Linked DNA regions of Drosophila melanogaster. The main gene of each other region encodes a partner of the protein of the gene in region 2 in a complex. Each region holds a gene or a part of one and is shown on either strand. Other genes may lie near its edges. The genes, in order: eIF3j, eIF3f2, eIF3b and eIF3c.

Region 1 (4,127 bases), 3.8 Mb from region 2:
AGCTAATAAAACCTTCGCAATATTTGTTAAAGTCGCTCATTCTTGTCTATTTTTAATTTGCCGCACGTGCATTAAATGACGACAGTGCTGACTATTCAGCTAGATTTAAGCTAACTTGGGCTGAAGACACATTGAATACTTAATAGACGAGTTGAAAGGGATAAGAGTGCACTTCAAATGCGTCAGCACTCTTTCTTTTATGACGAAATCCACTTATTCGACAACTGAATTTATTTTTAACTACTTCAATAATATGATTTTGAAGCCAAGTCACACACCACACCTTGCGATGCTTCTTCTTGGCTATGCAAACAAAGCCGTTCACAGTGAAGCGCCTTCAAATTACGGCGCGCATTGTGATCGTTTTAAATAAATTAAAAATTATGGTTCCTTTGAAAAGTTCATGGTAATGGTAAGATAAAAGCGGCTACCTATAATTAACTCAATTGTCAATCATCAACAGTTCCACCATCATACTTGTACACCCGTACCACACACCCACCCATACAGCACAATAAGCAAGATTTCTTTGTTTTCGTTTAATATCGATCTGTAGTTTTATTCTTTATACAAAAATGAATTTCACAAGAAGCCGTTCCGAATACGACCTACATACATGTGCTGTCGCCATAAGTCAGTTGCCTAAATATTCTTTCGGTTTGGAGTTGGATTTGCGTGTTCGTTGAGGTTTCTTGATTGCCTGACTTGACTATGTAACTCGTTTTGTGTTATGTATGGTTATATAAATATATATTTACATATTTATATAGGTTCTGCCATTTTATATTTAACAAAGGACTCTTATTCCTGCGCAGCATCTCTAACAAGAAGAACTCTTCAACAAGCAACTATGCATTCAATAATTAGATATATGCGGGCTACATTTATAGATCCTATTCACATGAAGTCGTCATAGTCTTCGGTGAAGTCATTTCCGTACTTTTGGTAACCGTCAATGTCCTGCAAAAGAGCGGATTAAATAAGTTCATTCGTTGATCTCGAACGGCGGCGATTGAAACACTCACGTCGTTTTCGGTGCGGAGAGTGACCTTGCCCTTGCCCTTTCCAGCGGGCTTTTTAGCATTGGCCTTTTCCAGCTTCAGCTTTTCCGAGTGCAAGATTTCCACGTTCATCTTGACCTTTTTGATGTCAGCAGCGCTCACTAGATAAGGTGCGAAATCAAATCAGATAAGCCGTCTTTAATTGTCAGCCAGCTAATCACTCACGATTCACGCATAGGCTGCGCACCAGATCCTCAACAAATTGGGGGAAGTGCTCCGACTCGCGGAATTGGCCCACCTTCCAGCTGAGCGTTGCGCCAAATTCCTTGAACTCCTCCTTGGTCTCGGGGTTGAAGGCGTCAAGACCTCCGCACGTACTCGTCACACCGAACGCTTCCTGGGCATGCTTGAGATCAGAGGCCTCCTGGATTTTTTGCAATCGCAGCTTCTCAGCCAACTTTTCTGCAGGCGATAGGTTGGCCAAACGTTTTGCCTCCGCTTCCTCCTCTAGGAGCTGTTAATAACAGATGATAACAATATAGCCAATGATTGAGAAATGCTTTTGAGCCTTATCTCACCGCCTGCTGTTCCAGTTTGGCTTTTAGCGCCTTATTTGGCTTCGGTTTGGCTGGTGCTTCTGTTTTCGTAGGCTTCTCCTCGTCCTTTTTTTCCTCCTCATCCTCCCAGCTGTCCTGTGGGCAGCAAATAAACAAATGATTCGATCAGTCTGCTGCAAAAGTGCACACGTGTACAGCGAAACGAAAGTGAAACCGAGTGCAGAAAAACAAGTTTTGGCCCATGGCATTTGTTGTTGGGCACTTGGATAGTTGGTTTGAATGCGGCACTGCTTTCGATCTCACTTGGATTTCGTTAGTCGCACCTTGATGTCCTCATCCTCGTCCTCGCCCTCCCACTTGTTTACGCTGGCGGCGGCAGTCGGCCGGATGACCACCTCGCTGTCTGCTGCGGATTCTGCCAGGTAACAGAATGAGTTCCAGGAACATGGTGAATAACAATGATTTCAAACGGTTAGTTGGCACAGTGGCTAAAAATACTCATCAAGGCTGGTTGCACGGCACTCCAACAACAACAGCAATAGCAGCAGCAACAACAACAACAACGACGGAGACCACGTTTATTGTCCGCCGTGCAGATGACGCACCGCCCACTCTTCCGCCCAGGCCAATCGCAACTTACCCCAATCGTCGGCCATGTTAATGGTTGCCTATTTGCTTGCGGGATTTGTGCTTCTGGATGGGATGGTGCTGGGATCGACTTGTTTCCAGCCTCGGCAGCGATTTCAGGAATTTTCCAAAACCAAATTTCTGTGGATCTGTAGTGTGCCCAAGGCGCGACTAGCGGAAAATGCGTGGGTAACGTCGCCGATAGTCTGTTGCCATCGAATATTCGTAGTGCGGCCAAGGTGATATCAAGTTATCGACAATTTGAAATTTGTTACCCTACAATATTTCATTTTTCATTTTTTTCCTTTCTTGATTGTAAGATTGCTTATTTTATTTTCAAACACAAATTTGTCAACTTTGTTAAGAAATCTTTAAGTTTTTAAAGATTTGAGTTACCCTACAAGTTTTTTTCAAAAAAAATTCGTGATAAATCTCCCTCTTCGTGGTGTTCTAAGAAACTTACTCTTAGAGTTATAAGGAAAATTGATTCGACTCGATAAATTATATATAGTAGAGAGTATATACATACATAAGCATGTTCTTGATAAGAAGAACTAGCTGTGTCGTTATATACCTCGAACTCCCCAATTGCTGACTAAGGCTATCTTATAGTCGAGGAATTCTTTCGATTGAGAGGCTAAGTCATCCTTATTGGAGTTAGAATTGGTCTAGTTAAGATCTGGATTTGTTTGCAAAATGTGAATTATGTCAAACGTCTGCAATTCTCAATGGTTACATCTGTTTTTAACATAATCATGTTAAATGTGGCTTTTTGTCCCAAGAACGGTTTTAAAGATAATTGTGTACTTTCTTTACTTGACTGTTTTGGCGATTTTGTTAACAAAGAACAACATCCATTTCTGCATGCATAAAAAGTATCATTTTAATAACGTTAAATTAAATTGGTATTCTTACAGATTTGTATTTCATTTTACGTTCATCTTCAGCGATATCATTGATTTTCTTCTTTATCCACTCATAATATGAGGAAGTTTTCGTGTAAACCGCTGGCCCATATCCGTAACTGGAGGGTCCCCCTCCGTAGGACGTTATTCCGGCTAGGTAATAAAATTGATCAGCACCCCTGCCCACCGAAGCCATCAGCGGGCTACCGGAATCTCCCAGTCCGGTGTCGGTGCCATCCCATCCCATGGCACATATCTGGATGTCCTTATCGACGAGCAGTGTTGGATACCGATTCAAGCATTCATCCGGACTCATTCCACTGATGGTGCCTTGGCGAAGTACGGTGCTTTTTTGCTGCAGACCCGAATCGCCCCAGCCGGCAATTTGAAAAGGGAAGTTTTTGAAGGAGGAAGTTGACAATTCAATGCCAGGCCAAATGCAAATGGGTCTGATCTGAAGAGTGTATCTGAAAGAGAGGACATCGATGGGAAAATGTGAAAAGAGGGAACCCCAAAGAGCACACTACTTACTTCACCCGACTCTTCAGACGCAACAGAGCAATGTCGTTGTAGTGTCTTCCATTTCTCGTGTAGTACTGCTCGTGCGGAACCCTCAGATCCACATCGATGTCCACGTGCGCTGGAGCCCATATCTTGGCTCCATTCGGCAGCCAGGTGTAGTCGGGATCGTTCTCGGTGTCATGCTCGCCCAGGCGCACACGTGCCACGTAGAAGTCATTCACATTCAAACAATGGGCTGCCGTCAGCACATAGCGACTGGCGATCAAGGAGCCCGCACACATGGGAGACGGTCGCTGCTTTGCTGTGTAGGCTTCGTAACCCAGCAGGACTGTCCAGGGAAACTGGTTGGACTGTGCCTCCATGCCGCCTACGATATATGACGAAGGAGGACTCTGTCCGCAGACCCTGCTATCTGGTAGTTTATCCCCTGCAACCATCGGGCAGCAGGTAAAAACCATGTGCACTAGCTCGTGGGCAAAAGGATTAATGTTGCATAGTTTGTTCCGGTACTGTGA
Region 2 (3,163 bases):
AATAAGGCTTAACTCGGACTCCAAAGCTGTTAATGGTACTAATTTTTATATTTTCCAAAAAGAATATAAAACTATCGCCTTACTAGGTGTACTTTTTCTTAGCGTTACACTTGTCGCTTTCGGAAATAATTTGGAGGCATCTTGATGGAGGTTCAAGTTCACACTTAATTTGTGATTTGTGCTCACGGTCTGCATTCATTAAATCTCTGCTTATGTTTAACATGGTTGCCATTTAAGGAATTTACATTTTTAGTACTTAATAAATAAATTAACATTCTTATCCAGCCCATTTTGCATTTACATTAACCACATATGATTAATTAAAGCTTATGAAATCCGTATAAAAATTTAAATCAACGATTTTTAAGAATAAACTTAAATTTACGTTTTAGAGTAACATAATTTTAGTGGTGTTGTTAGAATCTGCATGCTTAATGCACTCCCTAGATAAGTTCCCGAGATCTCTACATTCATTTAGATAGGCAGACAGATGCACGGTAGGAGGATTTACTTTACAAGACGGGATACGCTTCCTCCTACCTGACACATCCTTTTCTAGCAATCTATCTAGTTTACCCTTATGCTTTACGACCGACAGGTATAAGATGGAAATTGCCGAGGATTGAATAAAATATTCCGTTATCGAGCTAAAACCGTTTTAAGAAGCGGGAGTTTTACAATCGATTCTTCTTGCTTCAAACAAGACCTGCGTGTAAGATCTACGCCGTAGATGGCCGATTTTTATAATGCAATATGTTGGGCTTATAGCAATATGCATATTTGGTTATTCATCGATGAATTTACTTTGCAGGGAATAGTTTTTAAATTAAAAGTCTTGTACATTTTCTAATAAAATATACACTCGACATAAAAGAAGAATTATCACGAATTTGGGTAACAATATTCATTGACGGCTATATAAATATATTTTTTTAAAATATTAAAAATATATAAATTAGTTCCCATGCAAAATGGCCTCATTGGTTTTGCTATGTAAACGTTTTACCAGTCTGATTTGTTTACCACCTTAACTGAGTTTTTAATATAGGGCGCCAATTGAAATTTGTATGAGTATGAAATTAAAGTCATTATGCCGTATGCGAAATATGGGAGGAGCAAGGAACACTGCCATTGATACTTGGTGAGATTCCCATTTCACAAGGTATTGATACACGAAATACCCATGGCTATCCGTAACAAACTCATGCACGTAAATTAAGAGTCGTTTTAACAGACATTTACTAAATTTTAAACTATATACATATATGGTAAAAAGGCAGAATGTTTTTAATTTTTGTTATTATGTTCTTATAGCATACACAACTGTAAAATAATGTATGATGCTTAATTTAAAATTATTTTAAGCTTGTTTTTTCTGTTTACCATTTCAAAATGTTTCTAAATAGGCAAGTTTCTAAATAGCAAGGCAACGAAATAGGTGAGCACATTTTGGCACGTGCCCTTTTAAGTTATATTTACATTTTACAACACTGGATCGAGGGGAGGCACAAGCGCAGCCAAGTTTGCTTTGCTAAGTTTCTTTTCCAACTTAATTTTTTTTGTAACTCATGATGTCTAGGAATTTTAGCATGCGAGCTAAGGTGTATCTAAAGCCGTTGGTGTTTTTCCAAATTATTGACGCATACGATCGCCGACCAAAAGGTGACAATCAGGTAGGTGTGCGCGCATTCATCTCCTGTCCACTAATCTTGTAATGATCAAACCAAAGGTTATGGGCACTTTGCTGGGTCGCAACAAGGAGGGCCACATCGAGATCACAAACTGTTTTACTGTGCCGCACAAGGAGCATTCGGAGAACAAACGCATTGATCTGGATATGGCATATGCCTCCGAGGTCCTAGAGCTAAATATGTTCGCCTATCCGAACGAGCGTGTGCTGGGCTGGTTCTGCACTGGGAAATCGGTGTCCCGCTCCGCGTCCCTGATCCACGACTATTATGTCAGAGAATGCTGCGAAGGACAGCCACTGCACCTGCTAGTGGATGCAGCCCTGAAGAACCAGCGACTCTCGACCCGACTGTACTGTGCTGTGGAGATGGGAGTGCCTGGTGGCACCAAAGGACTGATGTTCTCATTAGTTCCACTGGAGATTAGCAACGAAAATTCCGATTTGGTGGCTCTGCGTTGCATAGAAAAGCAATCGCAGCAACAGGCAAGCAAGCAAATGGAGCGCTTCGTCCCAGAGTTGGCTCAAGTGGTGGATGCCACTAGGGATATGCAACATCGCCTTGACTTGGTGCTGCGCTACATCAACGATGTCTTGGCCAGGAAGAAAAAACCTGACAACGTAGTCGGGAGATCCCTTTACGCCGCTCTCACTGCCGTGCCGCTTTTGGACTCGGACAAATTTCGCGTCATGTTTAATACTAACTTGAGGGATATGCTCATGGCCATCACTCTTTCCACAATGATAAAAACACAGCTGGAGATCAGCGAGAAACTGTCTTGCATGCAGGATCAGTGAACAATGACAAAAAACTGACTGAATTGACTGAATCAATCACTTAATTGTTATTTTGGGTGCCTTTTGCTATTTACACCACCTAATAAATTGAACTTTCATTAAAAGGAGGATGTAGGTCACACTAAAGCAAGCCTTCGGTAGAAATTATTAAATTAGTATCGGCTCCTGAACTTTGGAGTCTAGAAACATCGCATCCAGCGATTAAGATCATTATAAGCTCGTGCCGAAAACAAATGATTTTCGTTAAGGCTTCCCCCGTTCTACACAGTTGCGTTGCCCGAAAACCTTATAGGCAACGCTTGATCGGCATTCTTTTCCAGCATCCCGATCTTAGTCCCTTTGGTAAGTGATTTTCAGAGAAAGCGAGTCATTTCGCCAACTCCTTTGGCCGTTTAAGCACCAAAAAGTTTGCGGTAAATACAACAACAGTGCTGGGAAACCCGCGGCGGAATGATGATCTCTACGGACGGTGATAAGGTCCAGTACAGATCTATTTCGGTCTGTTCAAATCTCGACGAAGAGGGCACGGCGGAGGATGGTAGTGGAAAGGTGGTGGGGGTGTCGGGGATGTGGACCACCCAAATAATGCCGAGATAATAACGCCTTATCGCGGTTCAGGGACAGTCGGCGGATGTCCACCGGGGCAATCAATTAGCTGGAACGAACTGAAAATTAGCA
Region 3 (5,149 bases), about 11 Mb from region 2:
GCGAATCCGTTGGTTCCTCAGCCAGTTCCCCACCCGAATCTTCGTCACTCTCCTGGCAATCTTCAACAGCGAAATCGTTCTCCTGCTGCATCTCACCCTCAAATCCATGAAAGAACTGCAGGCTAAGTGCCTCCATGTCGTGTTCTGGACCAGAGATTCTGCCTTCCGTTGCCCTTATCAACTTTTGCACCTCCTGCTCCCTTTTCCGATACCCTCTGGTGGTATGGGTCTTGCGTTTCTTCTTTGCAGTCTTCCTGGATAGAGCGGCTTCCATGTTACATAGGTTATTACAAACGGAAAATGCCAGGCAAACAATATTCCGCCTGCTTTGACCTTTCAACTGGTTGCCATGGGCAACTGACTTGACCACTGTTACACACCTGCTCACCACCAGCTATCTATCGTCTATCGCCTTGAATGAAACATCAAAAAAACATACCCCAAACGTATTTTGTTTTCGTTTTCTTTTTGCTGTTTACATACAAATACATGGCAAATCTACTATTAGGCATACTGGAAGGAGGAGGGGTGTGCGCAAGAAAGGTCATTTAATTAGATGTTATGTTCGCAATTGCTGATTGAGTTGAAGTTTACTTTTGGGCTTATAATTCGTATGTTCGTATGTTGTATGTATAGGCAAAGGTTCCGCTTAGAGTTGTTTGCAAGCAGACGCGTGCTACTGTATTGGATAATGGATTAGGGCCCTGGCATCAACCAGGGCGTAGACGCGTCCCGGACACGAAATGTGAGGCGACAGGATCGCTTCGAAGTAGGCAGGGGACGACAGCGTTGGAGTGGCGTTGAGGGGGTCGTCTACTCCAGCAGAGTGACTTCTTCCTTGACTAAAAATTCAACAATTTCTTCATCCACTTCGTCAGTTTCCAGGTTGTCTGTGTCCACATCTGTTGCGTAAGGATAATATACATATAGAAATCGGCAAATTTTAAACAATTTGTTTCTTGAGAATACTTACGCCCTCGCAGCATGATGCGACGACTCTTCTGCTCCGCCCACTCGGCAATACGCTTGTTGCGGTACTCCATAAAGGTCTCGCGCAGCTGCGAGCGCTTCTCGAGCAGCTCCTTGGAGGCACGGGTAAGGCGCAGGCGATCCTTTTGTTCGAAGGCAGCGTAGTACTTCTTCAAGTTCTTCTTGATCTCCTTCTGCTTCTCCTCGCTAAGCAGGGTGGGAGGACGCGGGCGCCACAAGAACTGCACAAAGTTCTTAAGAATGGTACGCTTGATGATGCGGCCCTGGAACGTGTACATGTTGAAGCCGGTATCCTCTTTCACCTTCCATGACGAGACACCAGTCACAACGTAGCGTCCAGTGGGATCCCACTCGACCTCGGAAGCGCGGAAATGATCGGGCGATGCCGTGATGATGTAATCGTTGGTGGAGTCCACAAACTCGAAGGTACCCATGGTGAGGTTGGCCATTACGATAAACTGACCGCGTGGCGACCAGAACAGATGTGTGCATGACTTCTTTTCTAGACGCTTCACCAAGCTGGGCTTAACGCCCTTGTTCACCTCGTAGAAGCTCACATTCGACGAGTTGGTCTCGCCGTGAATGATGGAGAACTTGTTGCCGACGGGCTCCCAGGCAAAGGCCAAAATAAGCTCACGAATCTCCACAGAGTCGACGGGAATCTCCTTCTCGCGCATGTGGAAGATCTCAAAGTTGTAGAACATGCCCAGAAACTTGACGTCCAGGTCCTTCTTATCCTTCTTCAACTTTGAGTAACGATCTACCTTAACGCACAGATAGTCGCCGGACTTTTGCCAATGTAACTTGCAATCGGCCACATGGAAAAGGTTCTTGTTACGGATCTCACGCTTCTTGGGGATCTCCATCAGGGTAACGCGGGCGGGTATTTGGTTCTGCTCCTCCACCCAGTAGGCAATCACGTTGTCTGTGGGGGACCAAGAGAAGCCACGAATGCCGGGAATCTTAATGGACTTCAGGTCCAGAAGATAGAAAGAGGGTGTCTCGTAGATGTGGATCGAATTCTCGCCCATGCGGGCCACAAACTTGTCGTCGTGCGACCAGCGGAACATAGAAAGAACCGACATGCCATCGGCAACAAACGAACGTTTCTCGGCTCCAGTGCGAATGTCCCAGATGATGATCTTTTGGCCCGTGGGTGTCGGTCCGTAAGTCACTAGGTAATTCTCGCAGGGCGAAAACTCAACGAATTGGGTACCAGGATGGGGAAACTTCTGAATCTTCTGGAAGCTACTGCCACCCCAGATGGCCACACCGGGTTTGTGGAAGGTGACTACATAAGTACCCAGGGGCGACCACTTGACGAAGGTGTCGGTGAAGCGTTCGCGAGTCTCCAGCTCAAAGGGTTCGGGCAATACGTTTTGCCAGAAACCAACCTGCACGCAGTTGGGAGCGGTCTCCGCTGCCACGCAGTACTGGTCATAAGTGTCCGGGTCATTGATGAAGTTGTATAGATCGCTCTGCACTTTGAAGGTCTGCACGGTTGGCGGCTCCCACTTCTCGGGGATGTTTTCGTACCTGCCAAGATTAAATTTTATTAATCTCATTGCTTGATGCGGATGCAAGGAGAACTTACTTTTGGAAATCGGTGAAGAGATTGACGGCAAAGGTGTGGTTTTTGTCTAGGCGATGATTGTTGAGCTTCTTGACGGCTTCCTCCGCCTGTCTGGCCTGCTTGTACTCCATGAAGGCGTAGCCCTTGGTCTTGCCCTCCTCGTCGACGGGATAGACCACATTGACGATTTCTCCGTAGTTCGAAAACAGCTTGTTGATGACCAACTTCAGCTTCTCCAGGCGCACCGGCTCCACCTTTGGGATATTGTCCACTACCACCACACTCTCGACGCCATCGGCCTCCGAGGGGCGCTGGGCCAACATGTCGCCCAGCAGATCTGAAAGTGCATCACGAATATATTTAATTAGATATGCAAATGCAAACTTTCGCACACCGCACACGGATTGAGGTTAGATCGCCGCGTGTGATGCGCTGGCAGTCGGTGATTTTCACCTTCATCACTAATGTTGTCCACGAACCCGGGCGGATCGTCAAAGTTCGGCTCCTCCTGGTAATCACTGTCGTTCGCATCCGTACCGGAGTGCTCCTCGCTTTTCTTCTTGGCCATATTCAGCGATCTATTTGCAATTTTCCGTCATTAAACACACAAGCACAAAGTGAAAAAGGAAGAGCGAGATGCCGCATTTGCCAGTCAAGGCGAAACACTGTTTTGTGTGAATGGTTAGTGTTGCCAACTACTCACTGCGTTGATAACGCGGCGGGGTAACTTTTATTAATATTTATAAATACATATGTACATGCATATATTTTAATTTACTGTTTCTTAGATTTATTTGTATTTATACTGCATATGTTTGCTTGACAGCAATGACAATAATATCTGGATCCTTCTCTTATGGATCCTTAACAACAGAATCTTAGGTGCTTATCTGGTGATAATGTGTTAAAACGGCTAAATATTATCATTTTGTATTTCATGTACATACAATTATTTAATATTAGTCAATATGTATTAAGCAAAGTATAACCTATAACAACTAGTTTAATCGTTCTTTAATAATACATACATTTTTTCCGCTTGCAACTCTAGCGATGGAAGTTTTGAAGCATGTTCAACCGATTTTTTAGAATTAGGCATCAATCGATTTGTTGCCGATAAGCCAAAACCGATTGCATCGAGTAATCATCGGCTGGGGTTCCATCTCTCACATGAAAATTTGTAAGATTTTAGAGCAGATCGGTGTCCGTGATTTTCTCAATTTAAGCCCAATTTGTAGTATTAAAGCTGTTGAAAAATGCAGCGGGGACGAGCGCGAACCGTGTGAAATGCATGCGAAAGTCGTCGGTGCAGCAAATCAGTGCGAAAAACATCCCAAATGTGCGTAGGCCCCACACTCACTCTCGCACACACACCCGCGCGCACATACACAGCTTTTTCGGTCACCACTCGTTCGCTGTGGGTGCGAGCAGTACCACACTAGCAGTGTCGCACACCAGCACTGCCAGTGCAGCGGGAGCGACAGAGAGGCAAACAGCGGGCGGCGGACAACAACAGTGCGAGGCGAAGGAAAATGTTTTCATTTACTTAAGTCGGCGGTTCCCCAAAGAAAATTGGAAACTTGCTGGCTTAAAACGGATTGGGAAAACATTAATTATACCATGGACGGGCGGTTGAACACTGCGATGGGTTGAAAAGTGCGTAAATGGCTTGTCCAGACGAGCAAATCGCAACAGCTGATGCAGCAGCATCTCGAGAAAAGCGAACAGGCAACTGTAAAGTGTTCTCTGTTATTGTCGCACTGCAGCCCCGCCCCCGCCCACCACCCACCGTCGCGCTCCGTGAATGATTCACATTTTCTTTCGGCTGCCCGCCTGCCTTTTAAGCTTTTTCCCTGCCCCGCCCGCCGAAAAAAATTCGCTGACAATGCGTGTGCGCAATTAGTTATTTTTCTCGATTTCCAAGTGGTTTGACAAAGTGCCAATCGTGTTTTTGTATTTTCTTGTGTTTAGGCTCCAAGTGAAAATCACCTAAGCTGAGGAAAACTCCAAGCCACACTCACACACACACGCACTCGCTCGCACGCAGAAAAGAGACAAGTGAAAAAGGAAAAGCGGTGTGTTGTGGTCAAACATAGAGTGCGAAAAGTGCAAAAAGTGCGGAAAGTGAAGTGGCGGGCGTCGGAGAGCCGGAGTCCGTCGCAGGAAAATCCGTCAGCATGGATGTCGAAACACAGGAAATACGACAGGTAAGCGCAGCAAGAGGGCTTCCCGTGTACAAAGTTACACATAAAATAAACTCATATTTGAGCTAAAAACAAAAAGCACTCATTAACATTCCAACGGAGGCGAAGCGGGCCTAAACACCTACTCTCTTGGCCAAAATGGTGCGCTGAGGTAATGCCGCTCGGCAACTTAGCGCTTAGTATGCGACCGACACCTACTTACCAATCGACTGGTTTCGATGGCCAATGCAAACAACTACAACCGGTAGTTGTGTGGGGTGTGCTTGTGCTGATCGGAATATAATGCCAGCAGCCAACATCCATTCATAAAACTGCAGCTGAAAAATCGAAGCCGGAAAATACGCTTTACCCCTGCAAGATTAGGCATTTGTTATCGTTTTTC
Region 4 (5,747 bases), about 11 Mb from region 2:
TTACGGGGTCAGCTTTCGCCCGCCTGCTGCTGTTTTGCATCAGATCTATTCGCATTATTCTCCTCAAGCCCGGTTTCGAAGATCGGATCTATCTCTTGCAAATCGATCTTCTTCTCCTTAATAGCGCGCTGGGGATTACAGGTTGGTCAAACCATACGTGGTTAGGGAGCCGATTAGCTCACCTTGACGCATTCCTGATAAACCCGGAAAATCGGAGCACACGCTGAGTCATCCATTTGACCTTTTAGGAAGCGTTCAGAAAACCAGCTGTTGAAACAGGCATCGTACTGCTGCTTCAGCTCGTTGCAATCCTCGCCAACGCTGCTCATTTGTTTACTAGGTATATTTTGGTTTTAATTTATAATGCCTATTATAGAGTTCCGAAAAAATGTGACAAAGGTACGTCGAACGGTACTACTGAAGAAAAGGTTTCAGAGATGTGAGAAAAAAAGAGCATATCGATATCCGAAGTTTTGCAGAAAACGAAGCTTGTCATCGAAATTCAAATGTTATTCTTAGTTTTCTTAAATTTTCAAAAGCCAAAGTGTTAAGCCGACTAAAATAATACTCTTGTTAGTACATATAAATTTAATATTAGTTGTTGGTAAAAATTTGCAAAAAAAAGTCACTGATTTTGTGTCTCTTGTTTTTAAGGTTTCTTTTTCGGTTTTGGGTTCATACAAAATGTAGTTATTAGTATTATCATTTAACGTAATGAGCGCTGAAACAAATGTTCGTGTGACTTGGCTACAACAATATGCAATGGACATGATAAAAACAGACCTCCGACCCAGCCTGAAACCGAATCGGAGGCCTGAAAGCATGTGACCCAACGTGTTGTCCATGGCCATTCCATTTTAATAGTCGAAGTGCTACAAATTTGATCTGTTTAAGTTTTGCTGATGTTTAAGCTAACGCTCGCTAGAGAGGATGGGCTGAGGTTGCAGCAACGTCTACTCCTCGTCGATCGTTTGGACTTGTTGCTGTTGCTGCTGCTGCCTATCTTGGTTGTTCTTGTGGTGCCCGCGCTGGTTACGGTTCCGGTTGTTGCGATCCCGCCGCTGGCCGAGCCAATTGCCGCCCTGGTTGTTCTGGTTGCGGTTGTAGCCACGGTCACCGCGATTGCCCATGTTGCCGCGCTGGAAGAAGTTGCCCTGCTTCATGTCGAACACCTTTTCGTTGACGTCCACCAGATTTGTGACCTTGTCCACGAATTGCATGGCCAGGGCCTGAAGACGCGATGGCTCCGAACGATGCATACCCACGGTTTCGGATGGATCGTCCAGGCTGGCCATGAGCTCCTCGTTGATGATCATCTTACTGATGATGGAGTGCACTTTCGGCACGGGCAGCTCGTACATCTGCGCCAGCGAAGGAATGCTGATCGAGGTGTAGACGTTCGAGTAGGTGAACAGGTAGGTGCGCAGCGATTCTTCCTTAATGAACTTGGTCAGCATCTCGCGCACGCGATCAGACTCGTAGAAGAGGTCCCACACTTTCGTGTTCATCTTCTTGTTGACAATGAAGTTGGCACACGCCTGCCAGTTGCCGCAACGCATAGCCTTGGCAGCAGCCACGACATGCTCACGCATCGACTCTGGTGGACCCACCAGTGATTGACGCTCCGAGGAACGCAACTGCTGGTAGAAGGTCTTACTGATCATGCGGCGGCGGGCGTCGAATTCATGGGCGGCAATGTAAGGAATTTCGAGCAGCATAGCGGACACCAGGTAGACACATTCAAGCAACTCAAGGTTGATGTGCATATGGAATGGCATCTGGCGTTGCTTCTCGATTTTCTCCTGCTCGGCAGATCGCTCGTGCTGGCGCTGAGGCAGCAGTCCTTGAGCGAGCAGCTCCTTGGGCTTGCCGGTGACCATCAAGTCCACTAGACAGTGATGCGCATCCTTGACGTTGCCCTGGCGGAAGGCACACAGACCCAGATTGGCCATCATACGGTTGTACAGGATGCGGGTGGCGGGATCGGCGGCATCAATGTTGTCCTGCAGATGAGACATCAGCACCAAATCACGGGCCTGGAACCAGTTGTCGTGCATAGCATGATGGTAGATGTGCGCCAGGATGGCCCTCGTACGGATACGATCCGTATCGTCCTTAGCGTAGATGAATTTGCACAGCTTATCCATCACGTCTACGGAGGTGGAGGTAGTGGCTGGCAGCTCACCGCGCTTCTTCTTCAGCACCTCCGGATCGAACTTATAGTAGAGATGTTCGATCTTGCGCAGGTAGATGCGACAGCGCTCGTTGTTGGTGCCAGAGCGCTCGAAATACTGCAGCACCAGTTCAATAGTCTTAACCACGTTCACCTCGTCCTTCAGCCGGGACACGTAGTCGTTGGAGTGTGGATCGCATTCCTTCAGCAGCTTAACAAATTCGTCATCCAGGCGCTCCACGGCAGCCAGTGGGCATCCCCTCACATAAAACGGTGACGTAGCGTACTCCTCATGCTCCTCGGCCACGCTCTCGCTCATAATAATGTCGGCGTTGGCCAGCAGGAGCTTCATCATGCTCTGCATTACCTCCAGAAGCAGGGCCCAGTGTTCTAGCTTCATGGGCTCGGAAATCTTCTGGTTGTAATCGTAGATAGCCGAGATGATGTTAAAATGAATCTTCACGGAGACGGCGGTTCCCAGGTTGTGCTGATCAGAGATGTCCCTCAACTCGAAAAGCAGATCGATCTGCAGACGGCGATCGGTGCGCTTCTTGCCGCGAGCCGACATAATTTCCAACAGCTTGGCCAGCACTAGGGGAACATCGATCTCTGCGTCCTTTTCGAACATCTTGGGCTTCTCTACTACATGACCCTTGACCACAGTCTCCCACTCGCCATCTTCATCGTCCTCGGCGCGCTTGCGGATCTTGGTCTTCTGCTCCTTACGCTTGTCCTTCCTCTTGTCATCATCCTTTTCCTCCTTTTCGGTAGTACGCTTCAAGAATCGCTCGCGCATGTTCTGATACTGGTTCTCATCGTCAGAGGACTCGGTCTCCGATTCAGAGTCCGAGTCCCAATCAATGGAGTCATCGGAATCGTCATCATCGGCGGGCGCAGCCTTTGCCGGCGCGGACTTCACAGCTTTCGGAACCGCTTCTGTAGGCTTCACTCCGGCGTCGCTGTCATCACCAGCATCGCCGCCGTCGCTCTCCAGGGCAACCACCTCGTCCTCGGCCTCGCTCTCCTGGTCGGGTGCTTCACGGAAACGCGACAGATCGTCCTCGAAGTCCTTGATGTACTTGCGTACCTTCTGGCGCAAAGTGCCCAGCGACTTGGAGTTGTTCTTGGAAAGGTTTTTCCTGCCCTCGCGATCCTCCCACACCTCGTTGATGAAGTCCTCCAGCTCGGCCAGGCAGCGAATGTAAAATCGCGGCGTAATGCCGTTCTCCTCCTTTGAGATGACCGGCAGTGCCTTCTGGTAGGCGCGCGTCAGATCCTCGAAGCTGCTCAGGGTATTGGGAATATCCTTGATTTTCTTGTGGTTGCGAATGGTTTTGATGATGCTGGTGAGGTTCTCGTAACGCTTCTCCTTCGTGGAGCGGACCACGCGCTTGACCTCCTCCTCATCGTCGCTGAATTGCTGTTTTCCACGGAAAGGAATAGATTAGTAATGGATGAGTTTCACATCTGGGCGGCACTTACGAAGGCGCTGGCTTTGTTGAAGTTGGTCGCTTGGATCTCCTCCTCGCTGGACTCGGACTCCGATTCGGACCCGTTGGCAAAGAAACGCGACATCTTTGTTGACTTTCTACGCGGCCGTTTGTCTGCGCCTGGAATCACAATTTATTAGTTTCGGGCCACATAAGATTTTGCTTTGTTGAGGTTATGTTTGAGCGGCCAACATGGCGTTTTGCAAAAACGTATGCCAAATATTTCCGCATGACATTTGGTTGTTTCATTCGAAGCCCTGGCAGAAATCGGTTCACTGCCTTGCTTTTTAAGTGTTTACTACCACCTGGCGTTTGATATTTCACAATAAACTTACTATTTTACAGCAAAACTAAACGATGTCGAATGCACAAGACATCAAAAAGAGAGACTAGAGATGGGCGATGGTTGCATGTGTTTTCGTTGGCGATATATATTGCTCAAAGTCACGGGGCGGGGCGTTTGATTTATGTATTAATAATAACTGTCATGTTGAGAAATGATTACTCTCTACTAATATTCGTAAGGAGAGCGTTTTAAACATTTTTTTAAATGTAACAGAACATTTGTTTTTTTATGTGGCGGACCAACAGTTACCGAAATCTATCCCATCTCTAAGGGAGTCACTGTTTTGACTGAATGCGAGCGCGTACTCATCGATAACGAAATGCCGGCACTTCTCGAGATATATCGATATCAAGTAACCGGTTGGGCGGTACATTTAAAATAAATCCATTAAATTACATAGCAAATATATCATCAAAATGAAATAGTGGCCATTTAAGTAACTATTCAAAATAATGTTAAAAAGATAATCAGTGATCAATGCTTACATAGATGTTGCATTGGTGACCTGCAACATTTGAAGTTGCCAGCAACATGTTGCTGCGCTTGCGTGCAAAAGTGCCGGCATTTCTTAGCCAAACAGAGTGGGGTTCCCATTCTGGCGCCCCAACCAATCTCCGGATCAATTGGTCCGGCCAACATGCAGCCAGGCAGCCAAGGAAAGGCCAAAGCAAAACCAAGCCAAACGTTTTCGCGCGCGCCAACAAGTCGCATGCGTTCTCTCCTCCGCGCCGACGGACAGTTCAAGTTCAAAAACTCAATTTTTCGGATGTACTCGGCGATTTGGCAGCGTTGATGCCAATATCCGGCGATAGAGTCTCAAGTGCTTTTGCGGCCCGCTAAAAAGAATTCAATAAATTCATTCATTTGAATTCTTGTGTGTTGTGTTGTGTCTTGGCGGTGTAAACAAAATTTGGCCCAAGTGTGCGGTGTGTGCGTGGCATGTGCTCTGCCCATCCACATCCTGTTTAAGTGGCATCCTAAATGAGATGCGACGCCCGGAATCGCTTGAAAACACGAGTAACACGGAAAACACTTTAACGCAAATGTAAGCATAATAAATAATAACTGCAGATTGATGGAGATGTGTGTATCTGCGGTCTCGGAAATGGCAAATTAAAAATTGATCGGTTAATCTCGCGTAATCGCCCTTTTCCTGGCTTTTCGACAGCTGACATTCGAGAGTGCATATGGCGGCTTTATTATCCGGAGAAATTGATGAGAGCTCCATAAATTCCCTGTCCGCCTATCGACATTTGAATCCGTAAAGGGTCCGTGAAATAGTACGGGTTTCTGCTCCTTGACTCCTCCGAAACTGCAGCTGCAATCGTAAATTGTGTGTGGGTGCAAAAGCTTATATGCATTTACATACATCCAAATCGGCAAAAACGGGCCCCTTTTTCCTGGGGTTCTGTTTCTGTTTCCGTTACGCTTTTGTGCTGTTTATTTTGCTTCCGTTTTCCGTTGGATTGTTACGGCTTGTGCGGCCCCATAAATCCTATATATGGGTTGGATATTTTCAAAACCGATGCTCGAAACAGACTATAGAAATTTCCATTTAAATGCGATTTCTGCCCTTGCTCGAGCATAGATTTCCTGTTGATTGAATACAAATGTTGAGTTACGCAATTTCAATGAATAATTCCTAATAACTACTCCCACGTTCCTGCCTCCATTTTAATTTAGTTTTTATTGATAAAACCGATGCACTTCTTTTTCATTCAATTCGTCATCATCCATT

What was found.
Region 1: eIF3f2 (region 2) and eIF3j share a complex: the UniProt entries of both Drosophila melanogaster proteins name them as parts of the eukaryotic translation initiation factor 3 (eIF-3) complex.
Region 3: eIF3f2 (region 2) and eIF3b share a complex: the UniProt entries of both Drosophila melanogaster proteins name them as parts of the eukaryotic translation initiation factor 3 (eIF-3) complex.
Region 4: eIF3f2 (region 2) and eIF3c share a complex: the UniProt entries of both Drosophila melanogaster proteins name them as parts of the eukaryotic translation initiation factor 3 (eIF-3) complex.

The regions. Positions count from the first base shown.
Region 1 is NT_033778.4:9,967,307-9,971,433, reverse strand, and holds eIF3j (eukaryotic translation initiation factor 3 subunit j), read right to left. Parts: upstream 2,506-4,127; 5' UTR 2,215-2,505; coding exon 2,199-2,214; intron 1,974-2,198; coding exon 1,882-1,973; intron 1,694-1,881; coding exon 1,580-1,693; intron 1,516-1,579; coding exon 1,227-1,515; intron 1,163-1,226; coding exon 1,026-1,162; intron 961-1,025; coding exon 898-960; 3' UTR 537-897; downstream 1-536. Other genes in the region: CG12134 (uncharacterized protein), read right to left, coding at 13-40; CG12133 (uncharacterized protein), read right to left, coding at 3,083-3,557, 3,622-4,127. UniProt on the Drosophila melanogaster protein: Component of the eukaryotic translation initiation factor 3 (eIF-3) complex, which is involved in protein synthesis of a specialized repertoire of mRNAs and, together with other initiation factors, stimulates binding of mRNA and methionyl-tRNAi to the 40S ribosome.
Region 2 is NT_033778.4:6,199,349-6,202,511, forward strand, and holds eIF3f2 (eukaryotic translation initiation factor 3 subunit f2), read left to right. Parts: upstream 1-1,504; 5' UTR 1,505-1,568; coding exon 1,569-1,673; intron 1,674-1,729; coding exon 1,730-2,485; 3' UTR 2,486-2,608; downstream 2,609-3,163. UniProt on the Drosophila melanogaster protein: Component of the eukaryotic translation initiation factor 3 (eIF-3) complex, which is involved in protein synthesis of a specialized repertoire of mRNAs and, together with other initiation factors, stimulates binding of mRNA and methionyl-tRNAi to the 40S ribosome.
Region 3 is NT_033778.4:17,534,447-17,539,595, reverse strand, and holds eIF3b (eukaryotic translation initiation factor 3 subunit b), read right to left. Parts: upstream 3,384-5,149; 5' UTR 3,267-3,383; intron 3,264-3,266; exon of another isoform or gene 3,142-3,263; 5' UTR 3,132-3,141; coding exon 3,017-3,131; intron 2,901-3,016; coding exon 2,585-2,900; intron 2,527-2,584; coding exon 974-2,526; intron 903-973; coding exon 814-902; 3' UTR 533-813; downstream 1-532. Other genes in the region: Cc2d2a (Coiled-coil and C2 domain containing 2A), read right to left, coding at 1-274; patronin, read left to right, coding at 4,741-4,770. UniProt on the Drosophila melanogaster protein: RNA-binding component of the eukaryotic translation initiation factor 3 (eIF-3) complex, which is involved in protein synthesis of a specialized repertoire of mRNAs and, together with other initiation factors, stimulates binding of mRNA and methionyl-tRNAi to the 40S ribosome.
Region 4 is NT_033778.4:17,664,068-17,669,814, reverse strand, and holds eIF3c (eukaryotic translation initiation factor 3 subunit c), read right to left. Parts: upstream 4,138-5,747; 5' UTR 3,999-4,137; intron 3,784-3,998; 5' UTR 3,749-3,783; coding exon 3,656-3,748; intron 3,594-3,655; coding exon 954-3,593; 3' UTR 830-953; exon of another isoform or gene 784-829; 3' UTR 540-783; downstream 1-539. Other genes in the region: CG30108 (uncharacterized protein), read right to left, coding at 9-128, 183-329. UniProt on the Drosophila melanogaster protein: Component of the eukaryotic translation initiation factor 3 (eIF-3) complex, which is involved in protein synthesis of a specialized repertoire of mRNAs and, together with other initiation factors, stimulates binding of mRNA and methionyl-tRNAi to the 40S ribosome.